Linked DNA regions of Arabidopsis thaliana. The protein of the gene in region 2 interacts with the protein of the main gene of each other region in a pairwise test. Each region holds a gene or a part of one and is shown on either strand. Other genes may lie near its edges.

What was found.
Region 1: the proteins of LOG2 (region 2) and GDU6 interact in a two-hybrid assay, tested with the Arabidopsis thaliana proteins (2 studies listed by BioGRID).
Region 3: the proteins of LOG2 (region 2) and GDU2 interact in a two-hybrid assay, tested with the Arabidopsis thaliana proteins (2 studies listed by BioGRID).
Region 4: the proteins of LOG2 (region 2) and GDU7 interact in a two-hybrid assay, tested with the Arabidopsis thaliana proteins (2 studies listed by BioGRID).

What each region holds. Positions count from the first base shown.
Region 1 is NC_003074.8:12,348,149-12,355,494, reverse strand, and holds GDU6 (glutamine dumper 6), read right to left. Parts: upstream 3,024-7,346; 5' UTR 2,987-3,023; coding exon 2,651-2,986; 3' UTR 2,462-2,650; downstream 1-2,461. Other genes in the region: QQS (qua-quine starch), read right to left, coding at 5,769-5,930, 6,017-6,034. UniProt on the Arabidopsis thaliana protein: Probable subunit of an amino acid transporter involved in the regulation of the amino acid metabolism. Stimulates amino acid export by activating nonselective amino acid facilitators.
Region 2 is NC_003074.8:2,993,170-3,002,029, forward strand, and holds LOG2 (RING/U-box superfamily protein), read right to left. Parts: upstream 5,087-8,860; 5' UTR 4,667-5,086; coding exon 4,164-4,666; intron 3,983-4,163; coding exon 3,475-3,982; coding exon of another isoform or gene 3,460-3,474; exon of another isoform or gene 3,389-3,459; coding exon 3,233-3,388; 3' UTR 3,010-3,232; downstream 1-3,009. Other genes in the region: AT3G09760 (RING/U-box superfamily protein), read right to left, coding at 1-3, 91-170, 279-369, 453-525, 606-891, 1,009-1,150, 1,386-1,916, 2,208-2,282; CCR1 (CRINKLY4 related 1), read right to left, coding at 7,669-8,860. UniProt on the Arabidopsis thaliana protein: Acts as an E3 ubiquitin-protein ligase, or as part of E3 complex, which accepts ubiquitin from specific E2 ubiquitin-conjugating enzymes and then transfers it to substrates (in vitro).
Region 3 is NC_003075.7:13,112,433-13,120,060, reverse strand, and holds GDU2 (glutamine dumper 2), read right to left. Parts: upstream 4,034-7,628; 5' UTR 3,913-4,033; coding exon 3,523-3,912; 3' UTR 3,106-3,522; downstream 1-3,105. Other genes in the region: AT4G25770 (alpha/beta-Hydrolases superfamily protein), read left to right, coding at 79-389, 481-548, 641-711, 790-1,029, 1,153-1,316, 1,398-1,453, 1,551-1,603, 1,690-1,813 and 1 more. UniProt on the Arabidopsis thaliana protein: Probable subunit of an amino acid transporter involved in the regulation of the amino acid metabolism. Stimulates amino acid export by activating nonselective amino acid facilitators.
Region 4 is NC_003076.8:15,522,488-15,529,881, reverse strand, and holds GDU7 (glutamine dumper 7), read right to left. Parts: upstream 3,818-7,394; 5' UTR 3,769-3,817; coding exon 3,475-3,768; 3' UTR 3,307-3,474; downstream 1-3,306. Other genes in the region: AT5G38760 (Late embryogenesis abundant protein (LEA) family protein), read right to left, coding at 5,139-5,213, 5,311-5,379, 5,574-5,633; AT5G38750 (asparaginyl-tRNA synthetase family), read right to left, coding at 6,702-6,941, 7,024-7,093, 7,135-7,232. UniProt on the Arabidopsis thaliana protein: Probable subunit of an amino acid transporter involved in the regulation of the amino acid metabolism. Stimulates amino acid export by activating nonselective amino acid facilitators.

The DNA.
Region 1 (7,346 bases), 9.4 Mb from region 2:
TCCACAACAACTTAGCTAAGAACAAGAAATATTATGGCGGATCCGATCAGTCTAAGATGCTGTTATGAGGAAGAGACGATTAATCATTTACTTTCCACTTGTCATTTGTAGGTTGTGTGGAGAAGTGCAAATATACTTGGAAGCAGCCAAGCAACTTTCTCTGACAACCGTGAGGATAATATTCAGTTTCTCTGCAGCTCCAAAAACAACAATATCTTCCCCTTTCTAATGGTCTTCTGCGTTTTTGGATAATGTGGCGTATATGAAAGTCGAGTTTCTCTTTCAAAAGATAATTTGTTTTCCATGGAAGGTGGCTCAGAAAGGTGTACAAGAAGCTTCTGAGTGGATTGAATCTACACAAGATACTACAGAGTTCATACAGAGTATTAGTCAGTCACAAGCTAGACCGATGCGATATATAGAGTAATAAAAAATGGAGTCCACCCCAGAGGGATATTTTAAATGTAATTTTGACAATAGCTTTGTCCAAAGTAGAACCTATGAGATTTCTACATGTGTAATTACAAGTAGAACACAACTATAGACAAACTTTCATGATTTGAAGCTTCAATATCTAATTTTTATCAAACTTTTACTGTACCACCGGAATTGCTTTTAAACTATTTGTATTATCCGTTTACAATATAAGAAAGTCGGAAGTTAAAAAAATAAATTTGTATTTATTATCTTTTCAAAATAACAAAACATTTTTTATGTTTTTATAACATCAAACCCAAAGTGAAACATAAAATACAAATATCTTTGAATCATAATAATAGTAAATAAATAAATATATTTAATGTTTCAAAACAAAAAACCTATATATATCTACATATACATTTTTGCAGCCATTTAGTAAAATAAATCCTGAAGTAGAGACTTATTTACAAGACAATGTCATTGACATTAAATTTCAAATGTTGATAATTATATACAAGATATTACGTTCAACAATAGTTGCCAAAAATCTCTCAATATATCAGTTGGTATTAATTATTCATATTTGAAAATTTAAATATTTTATATTGCGCTCAACAAACGTTTCTAAAAATCTCTTCAAAAATTTGCACGGTTTCATTCACATGTCTATAATATGAGAATTTTGAATTATATATTTTTAGATTGATTTGAATTATATATCTTTTAAATTAAAATATTATTAAAAGAAAAATAACAAAATAATGTTTAATTTCATTGAACGGGGGTTAAATGGTATGACAGGTTTGGGTCGATAGTAATACGAGAGAATATACTACAGGTGAAATTAATTAGATTGTTTAATTTCACTGAACGAGATTAGATGGTAGGACGGGTTTGAGTGAATAGTAATACGAGACGGTATATCACAGGTAAAATTTTAGATATAACAATCAAAATAAAATTATATTATCTTAAACCCTAAACAAAATAAAGAATATCAAAAAATAAAATAATTTAAATTTAAATTATTTTTATAATTTAGATTTTAACTTAATAAACAGTATGTTATTATTCTAATATTTTTAAACAGTAAAAATCAAACATAGCAATTTTATAGTAAAAATATATATAAATATAAAAATTGTATATTTAGATAATATAAAACATAAATTATATTTATTTTTAATTTATTAAACAAATTAAATATTTTATTTTAAAATCTAGTATATATGCATAAGCGCACAAATAAAGTGATCACACGAGAAAAGATGGCGACCACTTGAGAGCCACATAGTCCAAAAGTAAAAGATCACACTTTGGACCGTCCAATTCTTTGCGTTTTCAAGCCGCGGCGTCCACCAATAGCTGCCAATCAATGTGAAAGTTATCATTATGTGAATGAAATTAGAAAAGCCCACATTAAAATTTTACATACTTTTATCATTATTAATGCACATTACTTCTACTATTAATTAGAGTATACTAGTATTGTTGTTGTGAATTATTTATCATGTTCAAACCCTAAATATTGTTAATAATAATTTTTTCAATCGGTACATTAATTCCATAGTGATATTGATGACGTTTCAATATAATCATTCTACGATGAGTTAAAAATTTTTATCAAAGATTTGCAATTTCCGAACCCAAAGTATGCTCATCTACTTAGCTTTCTTTACAAACTGTTCAGACTTGGTGAAGATGGTGTCTTCTCCAACCGAATGGCCGGCGTTTTCAGTGTATTTGGAGGAGTTGCAAAGTGATAGGGAAGAATTCACAAATTTCTCTTTATCTTTAATTTCTCGTAGTGCAAATGTAAAAGCGGATAAGTTGGCACGAAAGATTCGTACCGTACCGCATCATGTCACGTATGTAAACAATATCCCTCGAGATTGACTCTTTTGAGTTCTAATTTATATCGGTTGACAAAAAAAAAAAAAAGTATGCTCATCTACTTTGTAAGTAAAGATCTAAAAATGATGTTTGAAAAATAAAATTCGTATGACAAATTAATATATCTTTAAATTTAAACATTGTACTAAAAAAAGAGAACAATAATTCATAAGCTGTTCCAAAAACAAACTCAACAAACAAAAGCAATAACACAAAACTTAATCTATACTAACATTGCCACAAAAATTATCGACTGTTACAAAATTGCCGCTGATTATTACAAAAGTCGAAATCTCTTAATCTTTCTGTCGGCAAAAGAAGAAAAAGATGTTAATGGTTAGGTTGAGATGACAGTAACATTGTCACAGTTACAACGAAAAATGGAAGTGGGTGGAGGAACCACGACCGGAACAGCCAAGCAAGTAGGTTTATTGTCTCCGGCCAAAATCACCACGATCTTAGGTAAGTACTCTCTTGTAATAGGCTTAGCGTCCTTGTCACCGACATCGTCTTCTTCATCCATATGATTGTTATTGCTAGAGGAAGAAGGTTTTTGGTGTGTGCAGACCAATGAGAGTAATGCCAAAGCTATAAGCAAAACAAGCAAAAAGAGACCACCAAAGAGATATGGTACTGGTGACTTCCAGATTTCTACTTTTGGTGTCGGCCTCATTATGATTTTTAGTAGTCTCTTTTTTCTTGTGTTGTAAGTGCAGCTATGGAATTTTAGTTATGGGCATTAAGGAATTTATAGTAGAAGGTTTGTACAAAATTGATATATAATTTTTAAATTAATTGATCACTAAGAAGTGTAGGCGTATTTTAGTTTAAAGTGAAGTAGGAAGATTCCTTGTGCGTTCAGATATTCTTTTCTTTTATTAACTATATCTGTTGTTGTTTATTGTTCATGTGTCATGTCATGACGACATTACATTAGTTCTTCTTACTTATTTTTTCCGACACTTGGAAATGGAAACAATGGTGTGCATGAACCAAGATATAAAAACGGTATACATGCATGCAAATGTTATTTTTTCGTTATTATAAATTAACATAAATATGTGAAAGTTCATTTAGGTATATATGAATGTTTTGAGTTTAAAACATTATGAAAAATAATTATTTCCAATATCTTAAAGTAAAGCTTAGCATTAGTTCTAAATATATAAAAAAAACTTGTAAATGTTAAAGGTATTTAGCGAAAAAAACATTATTACTTCTACACTATTTAGTTGTAGTGCCAAAAAATAAAATTAGATAATAAAGTATCTTTATCAAAAAAGAATTTCCAAAAAAACTTTCCCGCCAAAATGTTTTCGGGGAAATTTTTTTTGTCAAACTTTTTCCACCAAAAAAAAAAAATTCATGATTTACAAAATTAGGAAAGATTCTAAGCAATTAAGGAAGGTTTTCACAATATTCATAATTTTTATTTTTGTGTAGCCTTTTCTGAATTTTCTAAAATCTTTCCTGAATTTTGTAGAATCTTTCCTAAATTTTGTGAAATCCTTCCCGAATTTCGTAGTTACCTTCCTAAATTTTTTGGTGAGAAAATTTGACAATTTTTTTTTTGCGGGGGAAATATTTTCTTTTATTTATTTATTTTAATTAAATTAGTTATTTTATATTTAATATTTAATTAAAGTTAATAGTGCTCTTTGTGGAAGTTTTCAAAAGATATTCTATTTCTGAAAGAAAAACTTGTTCATTGCTATTTTTGTCAATTCCCCTAAAATATTTGATGTCTTTTTTATCTTAACGACTAATTTTAAAAAATAGATTTCTTAACTTTTTAAATTATGTGTAAAAATAAGTTTATATAACAGATGTTAGTCAACCGTTAATTCATATGATTCAACGGAACCAAACGACATTATGTTTGGTAGTTTGAGTAAAAACAGAAAACATGCAATGTCGTCTTTATAACTTTTGGGATTTAGGGACTTTGATTTCATTTAGTTATGTTCATTTTTTAAGCGGGACATAGAAGCATCGAGTAAATTTCATATTTGCTTTTGTCCACAAAAGGGAAGTCGTGAATGGGACTGTCATTTAATTTTTATTAAAAGTAGGGAAATGAACCAACCAAAAAATATATGTTCAATCGTTTTGTTAACCTTTGTCTCAAACCAAACGGTTTGGTTTGGTTTTGTTTGTTATACTATTACTTGTCACCCGAAAGTCTGAACCCAAATATGATATTGTTAACTCGATTAGTAAGACTGAAAAGCTTTGTAGACGTGGAAAGATGAACAAAGCTTAACTCGATTAGGGTTTTTGTAGTTTCAGCATGTATGCTGCAGCTGTCGGCTTCTCCAGAGCAGCTGGAGGAAGCTCCGGCGACAGAGGTTAAAGGCATACAAACTACATGGATTCAGGTAAGTCAGAAGGAGGATCTCAAAGAACATGGCCATCGATCTCAATGATCAAACTTCACAATGGAGGCATGCATCTAGCCAACGAGAATCTCCGTAGACTCAAAGGGTGGTGGGTCCAACAGTCAAAAAGTCATACGTTCAAGCAGCTCAAAAACATGTTTTTACTAAACAAAAGTTTGTGGTTGATGAAGTAGATGGTCAAGGGAGAGTTGTTGTCCCAAAAGAGGTTTTTGTAGGAGCTAAACCGTTATGGAAAGATTTTGTGATTGGCAAATTTCTCAATACAAAGGCTCCACATGTGGGTAACATTCACATGATTGTGAATAAAATATGGAGATTGGGAGACAAAACAAGTCTGATCGATGTTTTTGCAGTCAATGAAACGACAGTCAAGTTCTAGATTCGGAATGAGACTATGCGACAAAGAATTCACTACAGGAATTGTGAGTATCAATAGCACAGGAAAAACAATATTATAAGATATTATAGCGTTGTAGTAAACACTATGTATGCGCTTGTTATAGTAGGTCGAACACTTTATATAGCGGTTTGGGTTCTGCTATAAAAATTTCAACTAATATAGCGTTTTGTTGTGTGTTATTGTTAATTTTACAATAGCAATTACTATTTGCTATTAAATTGCGTAACTATAGCAGTACTTTAAATTTATAATAGCATTTAAATTATGTAATAATTGATAGTTTAAGGGTTGCTGAACAATAGCTTTCTTAGAGTATCCGTATAATTACTGTATTTAAGCGCTGGATATTGTATTTTAATACTGTAATTTATACTGTTTTTTATACCATATTTTATATTGTAATTTATACCGTATAATTACTGTATTTAGTCGTTGGATACTGTATTTAGAGTATCCATATAATTACTGTATTTTATGCCTTATTTTATACTATTTGGTGACTCTTTAACAAAAAAAAAGTATTTTACAAAGTATTTATATTGATATTAAGTCTAGTTGTAATGGGCATTAGAACAAAATAACCATTAAACAAGTTTACAGAGATATTAAATATTGGATACAATGGCCCTATAACTAATTTGTGATAAGGCCCAATATCAGTAGTTGTAGAACTGAAGCCCGACCCATGATATGACCCTCATTTTGAGCCTTGCGACACCTGATGTAGAAGTGTGAGGCAAAATGAACCTTTCAATGTCCATCAAATTCTGAATTGTTGAATTGTTTGGTTTGAAGCTTCTTTCAACGTAAATTTCCTGCTACAAAACGAAAGATTTAATCTCAGTAAACTAAAGAAAGTTAGTCGTTTGAATTACAAATAAGTTACTAATGGCTAATCGTTTACCTCTCTATTGGTCTTCATGAATCTAAGAACCAAACACCAACTGGTCGCTGAAATATAAGAATCATTCAATATACACAAAAGAAAATCAATGGTACTCGCATCTTATCAATATCACTCTGACGAATCGGAAATTATTTTTGAAAGGATGAAAAGAATATTACCTGTGGAGAAAATGAAGCATATAACACAACCCAGATCTTCTATAACCTGGAACAACAACAAGTATTAATCAGATTAAGAATAGACAAAGCGAGAAATAAGGAAAAAGGGATAAGGTTTGGGTACAGATCTAGATGTTTGATGAGAGGTAATGAGAGGAGGCTTCTTCAATGGCTGACCGTGTGAGTCTTGTTTCTTCTGATCTTCAATGGCTGACAGATCGAAAGGAGGTTTCTTCAATGGCTGACAGATCGAAAGGAGGCTTCTTCTGAGATGTTCTAATTTTTTGGATCGAAAGAAGTGAATAAATTATCGAAAAGGAGACGAAACAGACAAATCAAAGGCCAATATCTCGCCACGTCATGTATCCGAGTGATATATGGTGATTGGATCGTTTTGGCAAGCTTGGACATTTATTTAAGATGGCATGAGGAAAGGCTGAGATTTCGCCACGACATCAATCCGAGTGAAACATTCTAATTGGCTATTTCATGAAGGCATAAGAATGTTTTTTACATGCCATTTTCAAATTTTTTATGAAAAAAAAAATATATATTGACAAATTTATTATGTTTACATAATTGCAGATTTTTAGAAATTATTTAAAAATATTTTGAAACGTTTTTATTCTTGAAATGAATATCATTGTATCTCATATTGTCACCTAAGAAGACATGTACACTTATCTTCTTGTTGTGTGAATCATATTGTCACCTAAGAAGACCTTGCTAGCTTTGGGACCTATGGGTTTGAAATGTAGAAGAGTTGCAGGATCCGTCGAGCAAACTCGGCCCTCTGCAACAGTTTTACCAGAATTGTAACAATCCAAGAGGATGCACTTCGTATGCTTTTTTCCTTTGCTGCTGGAACCAGAGTTGGTACTTGTAGTCTAACGCATCAAAAACAAACTCATCAAAATCTCAAATACTAAATTTAAATTACACGTCATTGCAACATCAAAACTTACCCTAGGCGATCTTATCATTGTTGAATTCTCTGCAGTATGAATGATGATTTCTAAGCTTTTAATTGGCCATGGGATTTCATGATCTACTGCGTCAGGGATCACAAATATGTCAAGTGTTGGCCTCCACACATAAGCCGCCTCCTTCAGAACATTGACAATCTTCACAATGGCTGCATTTTTTCCCAAAGGAATGTTATCGATCAT
Region 2 (8,860 bases):
AACCTGCACAAGTATAACCGACATAGACTGAGAGTTAGAATACGAAACAGAGTGTCTTGTTCTGTTCTTAACAGATAAAAAAACTCTCACCAATGTGAAGAAAATGTGAGAGAAAAAAACAACAAGACCGAACTGAGTTGTAGCGTAAATCCAGACATATCTCTTCGGCACTGCACATCGATGACCACATAATCAATTAATCTGATAGCTTGTGTACTCAGAACTATTGGGAGGCAAAACTTTTTGAGGGTGAACTGTTTACTGTAATCATTTCTTACCCATTGTTGTTGCCGTCATCGAAGCAAAAAGACCAAGAACGCACGAGAATGGTAAAGAAACTGCAATGGCGCCAGATTGCATTTTTGTAAGCTGTAAAAAGTATTAAGAACAAGACGATGTTACAAAAGCTTTATACTAACAAGTGTAAGAGTAAACAATTCACTAAATCTTACCAGAAGCTGCTCGAGAAAACAGAAGTATGCAAGCATGCTTACAATCACAAGAATTGGAACATCCTGCCATAAACTGAGAGGACGAGAACCGGTCAATAATATACATAACAATTTGAATTTTTTTCAAGAGGTATGGTTTAGACTATGACTTGCCTGTAGTGTGCAGCCTCGGCGTCTGGAGCTCCAATACTACCCCGAGAATTCTGCATGCGAAGAAGGGTCACAGGGAGATTCTGAACCTCTTGCTTGCACACATCACATGTTCTGTTTCCTTTAATGGTGAACCATTTGATTGTACATTCTTTGTGGGCAAGAGCTAGTTCCCCTCTACACAAACATTCCATCTTGAAGGCTTCTGAATCTTCTCCCAATTCTACAAGGCAGATTCTACACACAGCTTCTTCTTCAGGAACATCTTCAGCTCCATCAACATTCGCGTCTGAAACATTTCACTAATATAAGGCACAGGGTTTGTTACAAGGATATAATCACAAAAATATCAAACTTTCATGTCTTTTTGGCTTTAAAAATCAAATGAAAAAATACAATTTCTAACCGTTAAGTTTAATAGTATTTCTGGTTGGAGACATGTTTGGAGTTGGAATCACCCGGAAAACACCTAATTGCCTTTGACTTCCATCTTTGTTGAATGCTGGGACAGAGCGTGAACGGTGGATAGGCAGTGGAGGCCCTTTTTTCTGTTGGGAAAACATTTTTATAAAAATAATTGGTCAAACCAACAATGAAGTGAAGCAGAAGATAACCTAGTTAGCTAAACTTATTTTACAAGCACAATGCATCACTTAAGATTACTCTACTGAGACCAAGGTGAAGTACGAGACAATAAAATGTCCCTTGCCAATGAGATAACAGCACAAACCACAATAGAATTCACATGAGAACCTAAATGAAACGATCCGTCAAGTTACTCACCGTGGAAGTAACTAGATCAACGGCAAATCTCCCGTGAGTGGACTCAGGATTTGAGTGAGCTATAGGGGTTACAGGAAGAGACTCAGTTTTCTTCAATCTTGGAGTTAAAATATTAGTGAGAGTCCATGTAGACCTGTCCCTGCCATTTCCTGAAGAAGGGGAGGACACAAAGCCCAAATCCGCGGCTTTCTCGATATCCACATTATCGTTATTGCTGTTCCGGTTCTTAAAGCTTAACTTGGGGATTAGATTCTTCAGGCTATTAGGTTTGTTTCTTGAAGAAGAAGAAGTAGAAGAAGAAGGACTCAAGGATGCACCACGTTGTCCGACTCTAGGGCTGGACATTGGAGAAAAGTTGACTCTTTTGGCAACAGGACTTGAAGTTAAAGATGCATTTCGTCTAAAAAGATCATCTCTTGTAGTATCTTCAGGTGTTGTTGATGGTAAATCTAACACAAGACCTCGCCTCCATAGGTCTCGGCCCGGTGATGATAGCTCTTGTCCTTGTGCAATCTCAGCAGAATTTCCATCCTGCAAACACCAAAGAAAGATTAATTTCAAATCCAATTTCTCAGATTCCAAAAAAACAAAAGGCATGATCTTTGACAAATAACTTAAAAGCCTAATCTTTTATCAAGAGACTCGACTTAAACAATCTACTAAACCCCTAAACCCTAAAATCATGGAAGATTGATGAAATTCTGAGGATAACCAACAAAATCAAAACCATGAGCAAAATAAAAAAAGAAAGAAATTTATAAACAATATCAATATCAATGGAAGATAGATTGAAACAAGATTGGAATGGAATTAACGAGAGACCCTTTGCAGAGGAGAATGATTATGTTGGTGAGACACATGATGTTCTTCTTCTTTGCGAGCTTTATCATCCATCATCGAGCTCCCAGAGAATAGAAAAGCAGAGGAGAAGAAGAATCTCTAACAAACAATGAAAATCAGAAGAAAAATTTGATAATTAGCAGGAGAAAAATTGTAGAAAAGAAACGGCAGGAACCCTTTGGAGGTAAAAGACAAGTCCCTCTTTCTGGGTTCCTGAAATTGAGATATCTGATCGATCATACAAATTTCAATTCTTTTTGAGATTATATCACAATGTCCCATTTTCTCGGCCTAAATTTGGTCCGTTTATTTGTCCTTATTATTATATTAAATACTTGTTTATTACAGCCTCGTATTTGTATGTTTTGTCTACGGCAAGCATTTTAAATTTAAACAAAGAGAGAGACACAGATATGAGATGATTTTTTGGATCTGTCTCTCTCTTTTTTGGGATCATTTTTTAACCAAACTACGAGTCACAGATATGAGATGATTGATGTTTTAACGAAGCTGTGAACCGAATTTTCCAAAACATTGAAATTACACAAGTATGATGAACCTATTGTTTACGAAACCGGAAAACTCGGGCTTAGGGCCCAATAGTAGAGGCGGATAAAAAGAAATGCAGGCCCATTTGACCACAAAACGTTGGAGATTGCCCCTTTTAAATAAGAAACGAAGGGGTCAGCTATATAATTGAATGTCATGTTGCCGCTACTATATCTCGTGTTTTCCATGTTTAAGTTTCTGTCTTATTGCAACTAAAATGGCTTCACCTGCCACTGCAACTTCCGGTTGAGCAACTAGCTAAGTAAGAAACTGCCTACTTTGTTGTTGTATCTAATGAAGAATGTTTCAAGTATTGTGTCATTATGACTCCAAATGATTTCGTAATCTCTATATTATGAATTGACAATCACACATTTTGTTGTTAACATACAAGGATCAAACATGCATATACTACTAATATTTCGATGGCATTTCAATCCATACTCGGCCGTGTTTAGCTACTCTTGTTCAACTGTTTCTCCCTGTCCGGTGTTATTCCCGCTTCCGTTGTTACCGTGAACTTTTATCTCCAAAAGCCTTTCAACAGGTTGCCTGCAAATGGGGCATCGATTTGTCTGAAACCTCAATACCTTAGCACATCCGCTACACATACACTGCACCACCAAACCCAAACAATTTTTAACATCTATATATATGTCCATCATCACATAATAGTAGTAAATCATCAGCTTTCACTTACCATATGTCGACATGGAAGAACAGTGGTGTCTCGTGGTTCAGACAAACATATAACACATTCTTTACCAGGATCATTAGCATCATCAGCTGAATCATCATCCCCCTCAACTGTATTCCCAATCCCATAAATCTCCTGCAACTCATATCTCGTTCCATTAACCCATAGTATCTGCTTCACCACTCTAATCTTAATCTCTCCTTTATCCTTCTCATAAACCGCTTGAGTAATCTGCGCATTCTTCGACCCCGACCTTTCTTCTTCTTCATTCTCACCACCTGAGGGAGCTGCTTCTGCCTTAACCGCTAATGGATAGATCTCTGTGTCTGCGGCCGCTTTGAACAGCTCAACGTCCTCAAAGACCGAAAAGTCTATACCAGAACCAGATGATTGTTTAAACTTCTGACCAAGTCCTTTCTCGAAATCTAGAGTGATAGGTGGCAGTATATCTTCCTTTGTCGCTGTGAGTTTGCAATCTTCGGATTCTTTAGCAAAGAAAATGACACTAATCCTATTTTTCACAAGTCCAACATAATAACATAAGCTTAATTCAATTACACATGAAGAAGATTTGATCAAATTGCAATAAGAAGATCCAAATTACATAGTCACGAGGAAGAACACAACAAAATTCACGTGTTATCTGCTCAAATGGATCACGAAATCAACGAAAGGGAGAAAGTGAAATCTACCTTCCGGAGACGGTTGCATCAAACGTAAAGGAGACGAGAAAGCGACCCGGATTATCCGGGTCGGGTTCAAGCCTAAGAGACTCCTTCTTGAGATTAACGTCGTTACGAATCGTGACGGCTTTCTGGTGTTCAACGTAAGGAGTCGGTTGAGCCATCATGTGACCAGCATAAGGGTATCTGGCCATCGCCACGGGAGCCCAAGAGTGGTTGTGGTAAGGATGCGGTGGATGATGTTGGAGGTGGTGGTCGTACGGCGGAAGAGGCATGGCTCCCGGGGGAGGATGGTGGTAGTAAGAAGCAGGGTACTGGTAAACCGGATTAGGATTAGGATTAGGATAGGGAGTAACGGCAGCGAAAACGATGGGATTAGCTTGGATTTCTGTAGGTAGAGGTGGTGGAGGAAGAGAAGAAGAAGGAGGAGGAGGAGGTGGTGGTGGAGCCGCCGTATGGTTTCGCCGTCGACGGCGTCTACCTTCACCACCGCTGCTGCTAATGTTTCCCATATGTTATTGGCGTTAAACCCAGATCAAAAAGACAAGATTTTTTGGTGACCCAAATGATCAAATCTCAGAAAATTGCTAAATTTGTGGGTGGATCGGAGATTCTGGGGATTAATATTGAGTGAAATGTAAGGAATTACGAAAAGCAAAAGCAGAGAGAGTTTAGATGAATTAAGAAAGAAAGAAAATAAAAAGAGAGAGAGAGAGATAAGAGAGAATAATTTAGGAGAAGAAAGTGGGTAATGATATGATGAATGGGGTCAGGTTGGCCAAGAAGCTCCACCCATGAACATAAAACACCTCCCACCCTCCTTCGATGGTGTTTATGTTCCCAAAAAGCTTTCTTTTTTTTTTCTTTGGACTTTTTTTCTCCTTGTTATTAATAATTACGTTGATTATAAGGAGTTTTGTCTTTTCAAAAAACAAAATTCAACACGAGTACTTAAAAGAGTTGAGGTGTGTTATATGACGACAAAAATATAGAAAGAAAGATGTTATCTTTTTAATTAGAAACACATTCCCATTAATTATTAGAGCATCTCCATTTGAAGTATCTCAATAAGATACCCAATAAAAAAAAAAAATAATTAAAGAAGAAAAAGTATGATAGAAGGAAAAAAAAGTAGAAGAGAAGGAGAGTTGAATTTCTCTTCCGAGAAACTTTGAGAAACTATTCTCATCCAATTTGGACAAGTGTCATCATACTATTAATTCAATTATTAAATAATAATTAATGTATCTGTTTTAATTAAAATATTATTTTTATTTTTTTTTAGAATCTTTCCTTGTTTTTACTGATAAAGATGGTCTTAAGATTTTTATTTAGGTCTACATTAGGATTAATTTGTTCATGCTTTAAAAAGATGATGTTATTTTCAGAAACCATTAATTGAGAAATCCAAATATTTTACAGAGTGAAGAAGTTGTCGATCATTGCATAGTTCTGTCTTCTGTGTGATTAAAGAGTTAAAAGTCACTTGTGCTGTCCGAAATGTATACTAGGCAATAGGCATTGTCTACTTTCCGCTTCTAGACTTATATTGCCTAAATATCTACTAGTAATTAGTGTGAAGTTTAATATGTATTCCTAACAAAGTAGGCTATACTTTATTTTTATTTTTAACCTATAATAAACCTACTTTTTGCCAACATAATATTCTTATATACAGTAGTCCGAAAAGATGAACTGGTATTTTGGAATTCATATTTAAACTTGTTTTGTCGTCTTTGAATAATTGTGTATAAGTTTAACCCAAAACACAAAACAAAACTGATGTATACTTTAATGTCTTAAAAATTAGTGTTTCTACAAAAGCATAAGCTCCGTTGACCAAAAAGAAAACATAAGCCCTAAAAGAGTTTTTATATTTTCAAAACCCTAAGCTAATTTTTTAAAAAATTTGTATGAATTTAGAGTCAAGAGATCACCATTAGCTAAAAAAAACGTCACAAAGAATAAAAATATATAAACATTCTTTCAAAGGAAGATATATATATATATATATATATATATTCAGTAGCCAGATTAAACTGTAACTATTGGATGTTTGATATTACGTGAAATTATATTACATGTTGATTTTGATCAAAATCAAATTATATTCGTGATCATATACAGATAGATATCATATTGAAACATTCCCATACGAAGGTAGTGGTGCGATTCGAAATCAAAAATAAATAAAGAGACATAATAGAATCGCATACCTAACCACTCGCACACACTTTCATTAAGCAATTCCAAAAGACGAACATATATAAACTAAGAAAAATAAATGGGAATCAATTATAAAATACTCTATATATAGTGGGAAACGGCAGACCGGATATATCATCAAGTTGGATACATATGTTGTGTAAAATCTGTAAAATCAATTGTATCAATTTATAGTTATGTAGACCTATGATCGTGACATATATATATATATAAAAACTAAACTTTGTTCTCTGTTGAATGTTGATGCATCTTTGTTATAATTTACAGGATAACAAATATGACGTCGAACGTAGCATCTTCTTGGAACACTAATGTAATATACATATGTCAAAGATTTTCTTAGGTTTGAGTCACTATGATTGAAATAGATCGAGCTCAGGTGTTTCTAAGAAGATATTTCGTTAATTAGTGAGTATGCTTAGACCCTTACATTATCTTTATGATACTAGCCGATAATTTATCTGAAGTCCGCATATCAGCAACGTGTCACGTACTATCTACGAATCCATCTAAAGCCAAATACTTTCATTAACTTCATTTTGTCGTTTCCTCAGAGGTGATGTTACCCTAACAAGATTTGTATTTGAGTGGAACAAATATATATATGTTAGATCTAATTGTGTGGTTCGTAATGAGGAATGATGTATCAATGAGGAATTTCGTACATGTGTACTTTGTGTAAGATCCCAAAAAGAGAGATCGTTTCCAATTTTGAAACAAAAGCTGTTTTATGACTAAGAAAAGCTCTATATTGTCAAAAGAATTACTAGTAGGTTATTTTCATATTTGTTTCCTTTAATACTATTACAGAGCAGTAAATGTCATGTGAATTATGTAGTCTGACAAATTGTGTGGATGAATTAAGTAGCTAAATGTTAGTTGAAAATGGTTAAACACAATCACTACATAAAACGAATTTGTTCATCTAACACTGCATATATAGTAGACAAAATGTGTGCATGAACTAATTAGCTAAATATTTTGTTAAAAATGGTTATATATAAAAACACTAAATAAAAATAATCTGTTCATATATTAATTTTCTCCTTTAATTCATATAAACAGCTAACAGAACAATTGAAGTAGCACCTCTTTAGTTTCAAAGATTCATAAACCAACTTTGAAAATTTTAGCTGAGCAAAGTGTAATTAATCACAATTAATGTTTTTGGATAATGTTTCCTCTCATTGAAAATTATTTTCTCAAATCTTGAATGTATATTTTTGATTATACAATTTCACCAGAATTCATAAATAAAAGAATAATAACACTCATTAAAAAAAAGAAGCTAGAAGATCAATGCATCTCTTGCGACATGTTCCAACCAATTCGCAAGTTCCGACATAGTTGGTTGTTGATTCGGATCCTCCCGTACACACAACTCTGCCACGTCAGCAAGTTTCAACAACGGCTCCACGTTTCTCGGCAACGCAATATACGTATCCACAATCGCCGCCGCTTTGCCTTCTCTGATCACCGGAACCGTCCATTCAACAATCTCCGGCGGATCACAGTCCCTATCATAACGTTTCCTACCGGTTAAAATCTCTAACAGCACAACTCCAAAGTCATAAACATCTCTTTTGATGTCCAAATTCTTCTCGTTCGACGATGTCACGAGCCCGAAATCCGCAACTCTCGCCACCCATTCCGAGTCCAATAGTACATTCGAAGACTTCACATCGCCATGAATGATTCTCGGCTCAGCTTCATTGTGAAGATACTCAAGACCCTTTGCGGTTTGCATAGCGATTTTGATCCTTAAGCTCCAACTCAATGGCGAAAACCCACTGTGCAGATGATCGTGAAGCGTACCGTGAGGCATGTACTCGTAAACAAGAAGCCTCTCTCCCATTTCGGTAGAGTAACCAAGGAGATTCACAATGTTGCAATGCCTAATGTTGCAGAGAATCTCCAATTCTGTCTCGAATTCTCTAGTGTTTGTGTGGATTATGGTTGCTGCGTTTGCTCTCTTAACCGCTACTTGCCTCCCGTCCGCCAACACGGCTTTGTAGACAAACCCATAGCTTCCTCTGCCTAACTCATTGAACTCTTTAAACCCGTTGGTCGCGTCTTTAAGCTCAGAGAGTCTAAACACTTGAGCAAAAGGCGTTACCGATGGAGCAGGGGATACATTTTCAAGTGGCTGATCAGTGTCTAAATCGGGCTTTCCTATGCAAGATTTGAATTGATTCGCTGCTCCGTCTTCTTTATTAGGACTAGTGACAATCCGTGGCACAACACAGCAACCAATTATAATGATCAATAGAGCGGATGCGCAAGACCCGATGATAAGAACAAGTCTCTGTAGTTGATGCCAATGCTTATCTGGAAAATTGCTGTTATGAAGCTTACATATATCCGAACAAGAACTGTTTTGACAGAGCGAGCAAGGCGTACATATCCGATCAGAGTTCGCGGTGCACGAACTTGACAAGAAGAATCCGTGAGAGCAATCCGAGCCGCAAGGTGAACAGACC
Region 3 (7,628 bases), on a different chromosome or scaffold from region 2:
AAAGTTAAGCGACTTGTCATCATCAGTTTGCTAGTCAGGAAGATAACTTCCTTCTTATTGTGTTCCTTTTACTTCCACATGATCGCGTCCTTCTCCAGATTCCAAATCTCAATCCCCGATTTGATTCCGTCTTCACCGCGATTTCTTCCGCCTAGTCAAAACCAGTTCCGTTTCAGATTATACCTTCAATTTCCAGCTCAACCTAAGAATCTCTGTCAAATGGAGTGGATGAATCGTCTTGGAATCGGTTGCTTTGCGGCGAATCGAAGCAAAAGAGAGCTGACGACGGAGATCGACAACGGCGGAGAAGACTTTTTCGATGCGGATGTTATGGAGTCTGCGGAGAAGCCTGATCATTTGGTGGTCATGGTTAACGGAATCGTTGGCAGGTAGACTAAATCAAAGAGCTTCAATTAGAATTACAGATTACTATAGTTTGGGTTAAAGACTGTGCTAATTCTGTGTTGGATGATGATTTAGTGCGGCGGATTGGAAATATGCGGCGGAGCAGTTCGTGAAGAAGTTCCCGGATAAAGTACTAGTGCACCGTGCGTGTTTCTTGACCTATAGATATTGTGGTTTTGATTACTCTGTAATTTTATGATTTGTTTGATTTTGATGATGAAATTGGATGAAGCAGGTAGCGAGAGTAATAGTGCAACGTTGACATTTGATGGTGTTGATAAAATGGGTGAAAGGCTAGCTAATGAGGTAGTATTTGGATGCATTGTTGTTTCCTCTGTAACTTGCAACTTAAAATTTGATTTCTATGTTTGAAAATTTGTGAAGGTTTTGGGTGTTGTTAAGCATAGAAGTGGGCTGAAGAAGATATCTTTTGTGGCTCATTCATTAGGAGGTCTTGTTGCAAGATATGCCATAGGGAAGCTCTATGAACAGCCAGGGGAAGTCGACTCTCTGGACTCTCCTTCGAAGGAGAAGAGCGCAAGAGGAGGCGAAATTGCTGGGTTAGAACCTATGAACTTTATAACTTTCGCAACGCCTCATCTTGGTTCAAGAGGACATAGACAGGTGAATTGATGTTTTAGACTGCATGCCTAGGTCAAATGTTTATGTAAGGTTTGCATATATATATATAGATAATCTCTTTCTGTAATCTGTATGACATGCTTACTCTTGTCTTCATTCCCTCAGTTCCCGATTCTTTGTGGCCTTCCGTTTCTTGAAAGAACAGCATCCCAAACTGCACATTTGGCTGCTGGGAGGACCGGAAAGCATTTGTTTCTGGTGGACAACGATGATGGAAATGCTCCACTTCTTATCCGGATGGCTACAGATTCTGATGACTTGAAATTCATGTAAATGCTCTAGCTTCTGGGTGTTTTCATTGGTGACTTGCAGATTGATATGCTCATCATCTCTTCTTATGACCTCAACAGATCAGCTTTAAATGCTTTCAAGCGTCGTGTGGCATATGCAAACGTGAATTTTGATTGTATCCTTCCCTGAAAAAAACATGTTTTTAAAGAGACTGTCAATGGTTTTTGATTATTTCTATCATTTACAAGAGTTTGCCTTAACTAATGAGAAAGCTATGGTTGGATGGAGGACATCTTCAATTCGCCGTCCAAATGAACTCCCAAAGGTATGTCTTTACTTATTATATTTTGTGCACATCTTTAATGACGTTGTGGGATTTATCAATAACTATTATCCCTGCTCATCTTCCAGCCAAATCTTCTAGCAACGGATCCAAACTATCCACACATTGTATACGTAGAACGTGGAAATGTGGACAATGGTAGTTGCCAGTCAACTTCTACAGTAGTAACAGAGCAAGATACTGATCTTGAAGGTTTTGCTTTATTTCTCACTTGACTATTTGTTTTTCAAAATTTGCTAGAAAAAATGATATCTCTATCAGATTTATGGAATGTGGTAGATCCTTGCCTCGCTATCTATTACCCATTGGTCTTCTTTATAACAAGTAGAATCACTAACTTCGTCCTGTTATGGTTTTTGTGAAATGTAGAGGAAATGATACATGGACTCAGTCAACTATCTTGGGAAAGAGTAGATGTCAGCTTTCACAATAGCAAGCAACGATACGTCGCGCATAGTACCATCCAGGCAAGTTTAATGATAAGAACTCAAAACTCAAAAGCGATTTTGTTAAGAGCATTTGACATAATTTTCCCTGTAATGTGTAGGTGAAAACATATTGGTTACATTCTGATGGCAAAGATGTTGTCTTCCACATGATGGATCATTTCGGTCTCTAGCCCTAAACATTTTCAACCGCTGCAATTAGTCAGCACTGTAAGAAGGCGATAAGCATCACAAACTTCTTCTCTTTTTTGTTGGTTATTTATATCGTATTTAGTATGATGCTTGATGCGATACAAATCGTGGTAAAGTTCTTGGCACTTTTTCCTTGATGGTTATTTAAAATGTTTTATAGTTCTGTCGAACAATGAATCTGTACAGATCTACCCGTTCTTTGTAAAAAAAAAAGGTTCATACTTCTCTTGTCACTATCGATTCTATAAGTTTTTGTTTTGATCATAAGACTTGGCGCCAGTTGAATGTCGATTTTTCCACAATTATTGTTGGTTTTCCAGTTTTATTGGCATCATTTGCGAGCTCGTTTGTTTTGACACGTTCACATAATAAACATAGTAGGAATTGGACAAGAAAACGAAAGGACGTAAACACATGACACAACCAGTGACCAATTGCCCATACTAGAAAAACAATTATTCAGTTAGTTGCAGTAGTCTCCATCCATTATATGTGTCACTGTTCACATTGTACTGATCATCCAAAAGACGACAATTTATTGTCCAACGATAAACGATAATGCTTTCAATTTCAGTGAATGGTAAACAATGATAAATGGATATGCCTGGAAAAGAAAAAAAGAGAGAAATGTATAGTTGAGAGGCTATTTGTTCTTTGATAAAACTTGATGATATTTAGTAATATATCTAGAAATTTAGGAATAAAGGTACAAAGAGAATAATTCTCAACTTCGGTTCGCCACAACGAATTAGCTTAATATTCGGCATGCGTCATTGTTGGCACATCACTAGAAGTTTTCACAACACATCTCTTTCCCTCTTTCGTAAGCATCATGTCTGTACATCTCTCACTGGGAAAACATTTTTGTCTCTCTATACACGAAAACTGAATTAAGGACGCACGATTTTAGTTGTATCTTTTATTTATTTTGTCTGTCAAGCTTCAGTTCTATCTTTAATCGCTAGTCCAAAACAATCATCTATTCAAACTCTTAAAATTTACATGTACCGGATATTCCTTCATGAACCATAAACGGGAAAAATTTGAAGAAAACTGAGACAACCAAAAAAAAACTAAAACCATACGAAATAAATAAAACTCTAATTTATATCCCATCAGCTCACGTAAGGTTGGCGTAATTATGAACCGACACAAAAAGACCGGACGGATCGATTCCGGAGTACTCCGTAACGAATGCTCTGTTTTCAAAATATGAGGGAGGGCTCACCGTAACCTCCGGTGCTCTGCTATACCACCTGATCACTACCCTCTTCTTCCTTCTTCTTCGTTATGATCGCCGCAAGTACAGCTTTGCTCAGACCGAGTCGCTGGCGTAGCCAAGTAAGTAGGTCTGACATCACCGGCCATTATGACGAGAAACTTCTCCGGCATTTCTGTGTGCTTAGTTTTGTTGGTGTCATTGTCGGGTTTGGCATCATCTCCGGCCTCAAGATCTCTCTCAGCGGAGCCGGAGAGTCTCCAGTAGGAACATGCGAGGATGAGAAGAGCGACGCAGATGAGAGCCAACATGGCGGCCAAACCACCGAAGAGATAAGGAACCGGAGAGTGCCAAGGCGAGTGAGGCACCACCATGGAGGAGCTCGCGTTTATGCTGTCTTGGTAATTATATTGTCGTCCTTCCATTGTCTGCATGTGTGTTTTACTGTTTGGGAAGAGTGAATGAAATGAAAGTTTTCTTTGTTAAAAAAGTAATTAATTTATTGGTGGGAGATGAGATTGTGTTGTGAGAGGCGTTTTATAGAGGAACGTATGGGATGGATTGTTTCTTAATGCAATGGATTTGTGTATGGTTCAGTTTTCAGTATTTTTTTGGAATGTATGAAAAAAGTCAGTATTCATTATTTGTACTTTGTAGAGTGAGTATTAACGAAATTATTTTTTAGGGAATCATCTTCCATAATGGAGTAAACAATTGATTGGTTTTTGATATAGAGATGTAGTTTTTTTTTGCATTTATACTTACATGAATAATTTTTTAATCAACCTCAAAAATGATATTAGTTTAACGTGGTGGCTCAATGAAGACATTTGTAAAATCATGTATATTTCCTTCTTTTGGATGTTAATTTGAACTTGTATTAAGTTGGTTTTCTTATTTTTTTCATAATTGTTTTGTTTAATATATCCGTCTTTAGTACTTTAATAAAGTTTAAATTTTTATTGGTGGCTTTTAATTAATAGTATCTTTTAAATGCAATAATGGATAGAGGTTAATTAAAGTTAAGAATTATTTAATAATCTTGTTACGGCAATTTGCACATTAACCTAACTGTTGAACTAACTAACCTCTTTGTTTTGGCTAATCAGTTTTTATTACTTTGCTTAATTAGGTTAAACTCAAGATTTAATATCATTTAGGAGTTTCAACTCAAAACTATTTTCAATGCCATTTATACACTATATATGGAGTTCTTAACAATATGTATAAAACTGTAAGAACTATATACAGTAAAGGGTATTTAAAAAACTTCTGGTTAGATAAAGTAATAGAGCGAGTAGTGCAATTGGAGGGGTAGGTTCTCAGCGTCAGCTTCCACCATGACTAAAGGAAAAACGGATATTCCATTAGTTTCCAATCACTTTCACTTACGTTCTCCATTTCCACATTCTTCCTCTTCCATTTTCTTTAATTTCTTCATTCGTACTTTAAGATCATTGTTTAATGTGTCCACTAGTATTACAGTAAGCAATAATATATCATTACGTCAACTAAAAGGAATTTCTAAGGCAGAACCTTTTTTAAAGCATCCAAACCCCCAAACAATGTTATGTGCGGTTAATATGCCAACACAATCACTAGTCGCTTACATTAATCTTTGGAGATAAGTTTTACTTTTAAATCCCCTCACTGTGTATATATTAGTTTTAAATTATTATGTGTGTGGGCTGTATAATTTATTCCCTGATCCGACTTAAATTCCGGATTTGATTTGTGTTTGTGCATGAATCATAGGGAATCATATTCTCGTTAAATAGGCACGTTACATGTGAAGATAATGTATAAAATAAATACATATACCTAGGAACCCATTATTTAGTTTCTCGAACAAACAGATTAAGTACGATAATTAAATATTGGAGTTCTATTCTTCTTCCTTTCCGGTAATTATTCTGCCAGACCAATTAGAATCGGTATGTTGATTGTTGAAAAGATTGATTGATGGGTGCTTCATTTTGTGCTTGGTTAACAATCAGAATACTTGCCCTCTTTACTTTTATTTCTTTTGAAATTTCCTAAGAAATCGTTTTCGGTGTTGAAAGAATTAACAAAGGTTCCAAATATCTCAACTTCTCAAGTCAGAGATTAGCTTTCATGTAGTTTTTCAAATTGTGTTTATTTCTTCATCTAATTACTTTTAAAGGTGGCTCGTTCAGTTTTTTTCAGAACTTATCTCCGTACATTCTAAAACTCATTTTTAGTTATCAAGATATTTTTCTTTCTCTTTAGATACGGATTAGTGAACTTGAGATAGGTATATCTAATTTAAATAGACAGCTTTATAGAGCTATGATGACACTTTTAAAAACTGATAGATATGCAACAAATATCATTATTGCATGCCTCACAGTTCACACATGTTATTTGAAGTTTGAACATTAAGTCATAAACAACAGTTTAATTACAATAAAATAATCAACATTTGCTAGCAAGAAAAAGAGAAGATATGGTAATAAAAATAAGGTTTATTGAAAGAAAAGATGAGAAAAGGAGATGAAAGTACAATAATTGTATATATCGTCAACCATGGCGACATGATCATATACATACATGTTTAAAATAATTTTGGAAAGTGTAAAAGCAAGTGTCTAAGGAAGTGTTATGCACTAATAGAAGTATAGGACGGTATCTAGTGAGAAGAAACAAAGAGTAAAGATACAAAAAAAACAGAGTGATTAACATTTCCTACATATATTCTATAGTTTTTTTTTTGGAATATGTTGTAACAGTTATGACATGATTCATGTGGAAGCTGCTACAAAAAAGTGGAGGAACGAGAGGGAATAGTAATAAAGCAGAAAGGGGTGTTTCTTTGAGAGAGTACATTTGTGAACGAGGACCAGCCTTTGTGGGACCTAAGAGTGGAGGGTGGTTCAGCTTTTAGCCGAGACGTCCTCATCGCCCAGCACCCTGGTCTGGTCCATCCTCCTCCACTGTCGCCTGTCGGCCTTCATTACTCTTTAACTTACCCACACACATTCTTTTCACTTTTCAGTTTTGGGTCTGTTCTTGCAGTTATGATATATACGGCATGGTATATTTATCTTGTGACATTGCAAGTTGCTTTTCACACATTTTTTTCAATATTGATCCACATTCAAATGGGCTTATTTCTGATTTCCTAATGTCAATTTTCTTCTGTTTAGCCCTGCACTCTGTTCTTGTTTTTGTACCCGTTAAGGGGCTTTGAAACAACATGCTACTTTTTATTATGTGTAGAAATTTAGGAAAAACACAACATGAGATACGGATATATTGATGGCCAAAGAAAGTGAAGAGAATGCTTTATTAGTATAACAAACTATATAAACATATCACATATGTGATATGTATAACAAGTTACTATAATATGATTCAAATTCTGTTTAGAATATTTTCTTTCATAGATAAAGAAATTGTACCATTTACAATTATTTCACCTATTAACTCCTAAAGTTTATTCATTTGCATGTACGGTGATATACCTAAAGTAAAAGCAACCACAAGTAACTATAACTAACTAACGTTTAAGCCAGATTGTTTTTATAGAAACTCCTTCAAATCCAGGACTGGTCACGTCATTAATATGTAATTGTAAAAATGGTTTGGCAAATTGTGTGCCAAACAAACAAAGGAAGATGCAGAGATTGGGAAATAGACTTGTACGTGATTTGCAATTTTCTGTGTAATAATTGTCAGCAGGCCCGTGACCTTTATCTGCATTCCCCTTTGGCTTTCTTCTTCTCAGTTTCTCAACAATATATATTCACTATGACACACATGCATATTCATTTGATCCATCTTTACATGTTTTCAATAAATGTGTGTATACGTAACTGTTAGCAAGCTTTCTTTATGAGAATATATCTAAGAATTTTCGTTTCTTCTGGATCCACCTTCTCACTAATAACTCCATCTTAATTTGGACTTGAATCTCTAATGATCTCTTCAATATCTGACTCTCTCTTGTCTTACTGTCGCATCCTGGTTACATCACCGTTTGACCACAATTATATTCGATGAGTTCTATGTAACGCAAAATTCAAAATGACAGAAAAGACAAAATAATTAACCAAAAGGTCAAAAAACAAATAAGAAAGAAAAAAAGACTGAAAAATTGTCAATTTCATTGGAAAATACAAAACATTCC
Region 4 (7,394 bases), on a different chromosome or scaffold from region 2:
ATATAGAGATGCCAAACAAATCTAGAAAACGGGCTGATAAATAATATTTAAAACATTATCTTTCATCGAAATATTTGCCAAATATAAAACTACTGAACTGTTATAACTCGATTTCTAAAGTAATTTTAAAGCGTATTAAAAAAAAAACTACTGAATTAAAAAGTAATATAGGAAGTTTATAGTTAGAAAGCAATACGAAAGTGATGGGGTTTTTAATTGTTTTTGAAAACATATATTGCAATAGTTGTATTTTTATTTTTTTTGGTCGTCCATCCCGTATTTGATTTCCAAATTGGAAAATTGCTAAGTGTATCAGAATCCAATAATACAAAACAAACAAAGTCTCGACAAAAAAAAACAAAAAAAACAAAGTCCAACATAGATCCAAAATAAAGCATTACGGAGCAAAAACTAGCTGACCTCGTAAGAACACGTGTTGTTTTGCAAGTTGGAGGTGGAAAGACACGAAATGACTCATCCACCAGAGCTGAAACATCGGCTGAATCCAATTTTTCCGATGAAAATTACCACCAATTCTAGCTGCTTATTCCGTTTCATCATACCACCACTTTTAGCTAAATTTTTCGAGGGCGTAGAACAGAGATCCATGAGTCATCATATTCTTGTATCACTGGAAGACGCGGCAAAGTAAGAGATCAAATCAGTAGTAAAACACGCTCTTCTGATAAGTTCTACACTAGTCACTGAATTCCACTCATCACGATTCCCAGCCAAAAGGAGAACATGCATCCATAACCAAAATACGGTCCCAATAAGAAGGTATGAGGATTTATATTTCCTTGCAAGAGAATCAAGCAATTGATGATCTTTGACTCTCCCAACAAACACTACTACATTTATCTCTTCTAAATTAGAAGAGATCTAATAACTATAAAAAGGGAGAAAACAAAAACAACAAACAATAATATAGCCAAAGCGGCTAAGAGAGAACTCGAACTTAGCCGAGAATATATAGAAAAAATGTATTTAGCCGGAAAGAACCAATTTTAATCGAAGACAAAAAAAAATCAAGCTTCCTCTCTTTAAAAGATAGGAGGGAGATAAAAGATAAGAAGTTACGTCCATGGACCTAGGCTATATTGCAATAGTTTTAATTTTAAAACAGCGCTTAGTAAAGTTATCTCGACATACCATATTGTTGGTATAAAAAGGAAAAATAGGTTAAGAACCCCTTATTTTTCAGAAAAATATGTAGAAATTTTGTGCATGATTGGTTGGGTTTTAAGTCTGACTTATAACCTTAACTTTTTTTAAAGCCTTGATTACTAATCAATCGTGTTGTAGCTTTATTTTTAAATTTATAGCTCATTTTTTTTTTTTTTTTAAGGATGTAATAGAGTAAATTCTCAAAGCCCTATTTTCTTTGCTGTAGAAATTTTAATTCATTAGATAAATACAAAAAATTAAATTATAAATATATAACAAAAAAAAAGATAAGTTCTAAAAAAAACTGATAATTACTAAACCTAAATGAAAAAATTGAGATTGCAATGAATTTATGTATTAATTTTAGGTAAAATTTAGATTTATTTTATTAAGAATTCATAGGCCTTTTTTTATATATCATCATAATATATATATTTAAATTAGTAATACAAGGTATTTTATTTATTATAAAATTTTTTTTATTACAACTATTATATTTAGTAATCCATTTTTTATAAATATTTAAAGTTAAAAATTTATAGCAAAAATTCTACAGCAATAAAAGTTACAGTTACATCCAACACAGCTACAGTAAAATCTGTACAGCAAAAATTCTAAATTTTAAACCAATCACCCACTTTCTCAACTTTTTTTGTGATTTTTTAAACTCTAAATTTTTTAAAAATAATAAAATAACCTTTAATATTAGACTTATTAATAAACTAAATAAATACCAAATAAATTATTATATTTTTAAAAACAACTTAGTTTGTTATTTATTTTTTTAAATTCTAGTTTACGAATTATTTTTCCAAAATAACTCCTTTTTGTTATTTTCAAGTTTTTAAAAAGTTGATAAGTAATATATCAAAATCAAAGCATTCAAGACAAAGATTTCAACTATACTTTTTTATTTTTGAAAATCAAATATATGTGATCGTATATATATTTACAATATATGTATAAATGTTATATTATATATTATTTTTGATTTTGTAATATTATTATACATTTTTTGGAGGTGCATGATAAATTTATAGAAATGGACGACTTTTAGGTCTTTTTTACACAAAATCTTTTAGTAAAAAGCGAGGGTTTAAAATCATTTAAAAACCATAAGGTACGTAGGTTTTTTCATGTGAGATTTTTTTTAATCCATTTTCCCGTATAAGATGGACCTTGTTGTTGGCATATACGATGGTTTGCTGAAAAAAAAACATTAAAGTAGTTGCAAAACCAATAAAACTGATGTGATTTAATCGGTGAAAGAGGATCTATGATCAACATGTGTATAACTAATTAAAGACACTTAACCAAATTGACTCAAAAAGTGTATAGTTCAATATATTCGATAGTAATATTAACACACACATATGCGAACAACACAGTATATTCGAGGATCTAGCACTTTAAATAAAGCTACCATAAAATGGAATATTTGTTATTTTTCCTAGTTAATGCTCCTTAACGACTAAATGTAAAATTTCCAAATTTATTGATAGCATAATGTAAAACTTACCAATTTCACCGTTTTTTTACAAAATCTAAACTTTTGTTTCAATACATACATACAGGCCCGGCTTAGAGGGTGTGCCCTTGGTGCTAATGCACAGGGTCCTTTATTTTTTCAATCATTTTCTTTAAGCAATCAAGGTCCATTTTACAAACAGTAGTGTATAATCAAACTAAATTCTAAACATATAGAACATATATTAGAAAAAAAATTAACGAGCACAGGGTCCCACGTTTTGTTGAGCCGGCCCTGCATACATATATAAGTATCTTTTGCAACCGAGAAAGTGAAGAAGACACGGAAGAAAAAAAGGTGAGAAAGAACAAATTTGAAGTGCGTAAGAAACAATATGGAGCCTGGTTTCTTCCAAGTTAGCGTAGCCGTGGGGTCTGTCTTGGCCATCTTCATGTCAGCAGCTCTATATGTTATGTTTTACTTAAACCGAACACAAACACATATTGTATCCACTTCTAATATTTAACTATCTTCTTTATTTTTTTCTTGATAGTATTCTTTATTTTTTTGCTTTCTATGAATTATTTATTGAAGAATTTTTAGACTAGACATATATATCTTTGCCATAATTTATTTTTTGCTGTTGATAGAAAATTTTATAAACAATTGTTCTTATTGAAAAGTTAACAAAGAAAAATAAAAAAATTATTATAGAAAACTTAATCAAGTATATATAAATATATCAGTAGAATATTAATGGTCTCGTCCAGCGAATGAATGGAAAAATATAACACTAATCTTGTGATTTTTGACATCATGATCATTTAAGACAATACTGGTCATGCATTGATCTGGGTTGGCTTAGCAAAGAAGGTAGGGTTTTCATTACCAGCCATTATTACAACAATCTTTGGTTCCATATCTAGTGGCTTCAACACTTGCTTCTTTCCTTGTTTCTCTTCGATGCATGAATTCGAAGTTTGCTTATGATAGCAAGCATAGGCCATAGCGAATAATGAAAGCGCAAAGAGCCCCAGCATTACGCCCCACGCACAAATCTTAGAGAGAATCGGAGAGTCCATGTTCTCTAACCTGGAGTTAACCGGGACCATTGAATCCCTATGCAGACTCATTGCCTCGTTGATCTTGAAATCTGATCTTTCCTCTTCCACCAGCTTTTCTCTTCTCAAGTTTGTGGGGGTTATTTATTTATATCGTATTACCTAAAAGTGAGAGTTTTGCACAGTCTTTAGATGCCAAGTTGCCTTCTGAGTTTTTGTCCTAAAAGTAATTATTCTTTCTTGAACACTTAAGAGATTCTTTGATCTCTTTTCTTACCAAGCTTAGATCCTGTGTTTATGAGGATGAAATTTTCTTGAATAATTGATTTTTTGGTTTATGTTAATTCTATCGAGTCCGTATACAAGATACATATAAATTACTGTGTAACCCAGTTTCATATGTTTACATTTTTCTAAACAAAACAATATTGTTTATTTTTTTCGCCAACCACATCCATTAAAAACAAAAATATTATGTACAAGAATATGCAAGAATGAGGTAAATCAAGAGAGAGAAAAAACATTGAGTGAATTGTTTAAATATTTGTGTAGTTTTTTTTTTGTGTGAAAATATTTGTGTAGTTGAAGCTAAACTTGTTGTATCAAGATATATCTTTTCTTTAGTTTATAATAACTTATATAATCAATTGTTAGTATCATTTTTTCACATATAAGATTGTATATTTAGTTTCTTAATTTTTAATTTTATATTCTTGTATCTTTTGTCATCTGAAAATTTTTGTATTTGTTTTTTACCTAATAAATTATAAAAGTAAGTAATAATGATTTATAGTCTCTTTTTTTTGTCAACAACTTTGTCTTAATTAAGAGGCTTTGAGAGCCATGCGAAGGGAACATTATTTAAATACATGATATAATACAAATATCCATTATATATTTCCTCCTAATAAATCTCAAATGGTGGCCATACTAAGTATAATTTATATAAGATGTAAAATCATGAGAACTTTTTATTTATTTGATGCGGTTTGGTTTGAATTTTTTTTTTGGGTTATTGCCTTTCTCATTAATAAAACGAATTAGTTAATAAAAACAATTTTTGTTTTTTTGTTTACTTTGAAGGGTTTTTCAGTTATACGTTTTCTTTTTCCACCCTAACAAAAAGACATATGCCATACCGGTATAATGCCAATTCAGCCACATTTTCGTATAATTTGAATGAAAGCAGAAAAGAAAAATACGATCATAAGACAATGCTATTTTATTAGAGATCTCTATAATGAAAAAGGATCTCAAAGATTACATGATCATGAGATAATAAACAGAAACAAAAATCCAAGAGAAGAAGTAATAATATTAAGAAAGAAAGAAACAACAGTCTGAATAATCAAACCGTTGAACCTAATCTTTAGGTTTCAAAAAATGAATTATTGTTTTTATTCGTAAAAAAAATAACATAATGAATCATATGATTATTGTATTCATTTGTTCATGCCGGTGGCGTTCTTCACTGATTCGGTAGCTCCTTGTGCCTTCTCCTTAATCTGCTGGCCGGTCTATACAAATGTTTATAAATGAAACAATTTAATTAGTTCCATACTATTACAAGAATTCGATTTAATTAATCATGAAAATTATCTAGATTATACGAACCTCTTTGAGAGACTCCTTGGCAGATTGGGCAGCATTGCTAGCCTTGTCCATCATGGTGCTAGCCTTCTCCTGAACACCATCAACCAATTAATTACTACAAGAAAAAATCTCAGACAAAATTGCTATTGAAATACTTAATTTAAAAACTTTTCCCCTGCTTTAAAAATTATAAGTGTTTTAAGAATAAACGTTTGTTACTTTAAGTTTTAGAGCCCTAATCATTTTTTATTGGCCCTAGTAATAATATTATAGTTTAGGATTACCTGAGTTTGGCCCTTGGCCTGGCCAGCTTGGAAGCTAATGTTCTGGGAGTTGCTTGACATTTTCGAATAGCTTTAGTGAAAAGAAAGTTAAGTATTTTCTTTGAATAAAAGTGTGATTATGAGATTGAATTGAGTTAAGTTCCTCCAAAGGTTCCATAATTTATATAGCTCTCATGGAGCTTTCATCTTCTGACACATGTCAGTAAAGTGTTGGAATATGGGGTGTTCCGGATTAAGTGGAGATTAGGATGATTAATCCATATTTAGTTCATGAGATCAGAGTTATATGGAAGTTTGACACATTTGTTGGATATTTTTAGCTCGATTGACTTGTTCTAATGATTGTGATCTCAACTTTTGATTTAGTAATGTTTTGATTTGATTAATCTATATTAGTTTTAGAAGTGTTGCATCTTTTTAGGATCTTGATGTTTGAATCCAGTTAAAATAATGAATCTGGTTAAAATTAAAACAAATGGTTAAGATTAAAAATTATGATTTACCTATCAACTTTGTTTGGTATTTTTTTAACTCTTCCAAAATATCATATAATATAATTATAACAATTGCAAACTATATATTAAAATATTTATATAAAAAAATATTTTATAACATGATGTCATTTGCAATATAATGCATAATCATTTAATTTAAAAATCACTAGTTTTAGAAAATAAATCGTCTCAGGGTGTATCGCGGTTAAAATCTAATTTATCATTATTATTACAAGTGTTGCATCTTTTTGGGATCTTGATGTTTGAATCCAGTTAAAATTAATGGAGCTCTTGGCACTTTCTAGTTAATTCAGGAGATTATTCACAATAGTCCTTTTCCATAGTTGATCGGATTCTAGTCAAAAAAGTTTCTTTTTTTGGGTTCAAAAGGAAAAAGTTATAAGAAATGAGTTTATTAATTGTTTAGAATGAGTGGAAAAAAAAAAGTTTAGAATTAGAAGAAAAGAGAATGAATTACATATCAAGAAGAAGAAAAAAGGAGAGTGGAATTACATTTACATGACATGTTGTCATATTGATCACTGTAATATATCGAACCTTAGGGTTCTAATGCTAACACGTTAAAATAAACAAGACAATAGAGTTAGGCAGTGAATAACTTGAAATAATAGTATTATGCAGTCCGGCCCCTATTCTTCGCCGCAAGACACATCTTATGTCGGATTCTTGTAACTGCTGCAATCATGGAGGTTCTTGCACGAAAATAAGTATGGTCTCTCAAATACTCTAGAGTCAGCTTCGATTTAGGAATTGAGTACGGAGTTTCACTGCGGTGATCCACTGTTCCCACATCAATGAACTTCTCAACGTTAAGCTCGATCATCTCCTTCGTAGCTTTACCTTGCAGAGGAATCTTCAAACAACCATCTATGGACTATGGTAAGACTAGTTCTTGTAGTAACCAACTTGCAGCGATATGACACAGAAGCATCCACCTTGACCTGAAGATTCGCTGCGCAGGATCCATAGTTCACTTCAAGAAAAGTGAAACTTTTTCCTAGCTCCCTTCCCTTTTTTAACCCACCCGCTGGTTTGGAATTTCTCACCGGCTAATCCTGCTGCCGTCCGGTCGACACAAAATCGATCGAATACGGGTCCGACTCAGAGAACAGAGATTCTGCACCGTTGATGACGAGGCACCCATATCTCTCATCAATATTAATATTATTATTTTTTATGTCGATTGTTTTAGTTAATATAAACAATTAAAACAAAAATTTATTTTCATTTCAGAAACTATTGAATATTTTCTATTTTTTACTATCTTTTATTAATACTTTTTAAACATATCAAATTATTTTTTTTT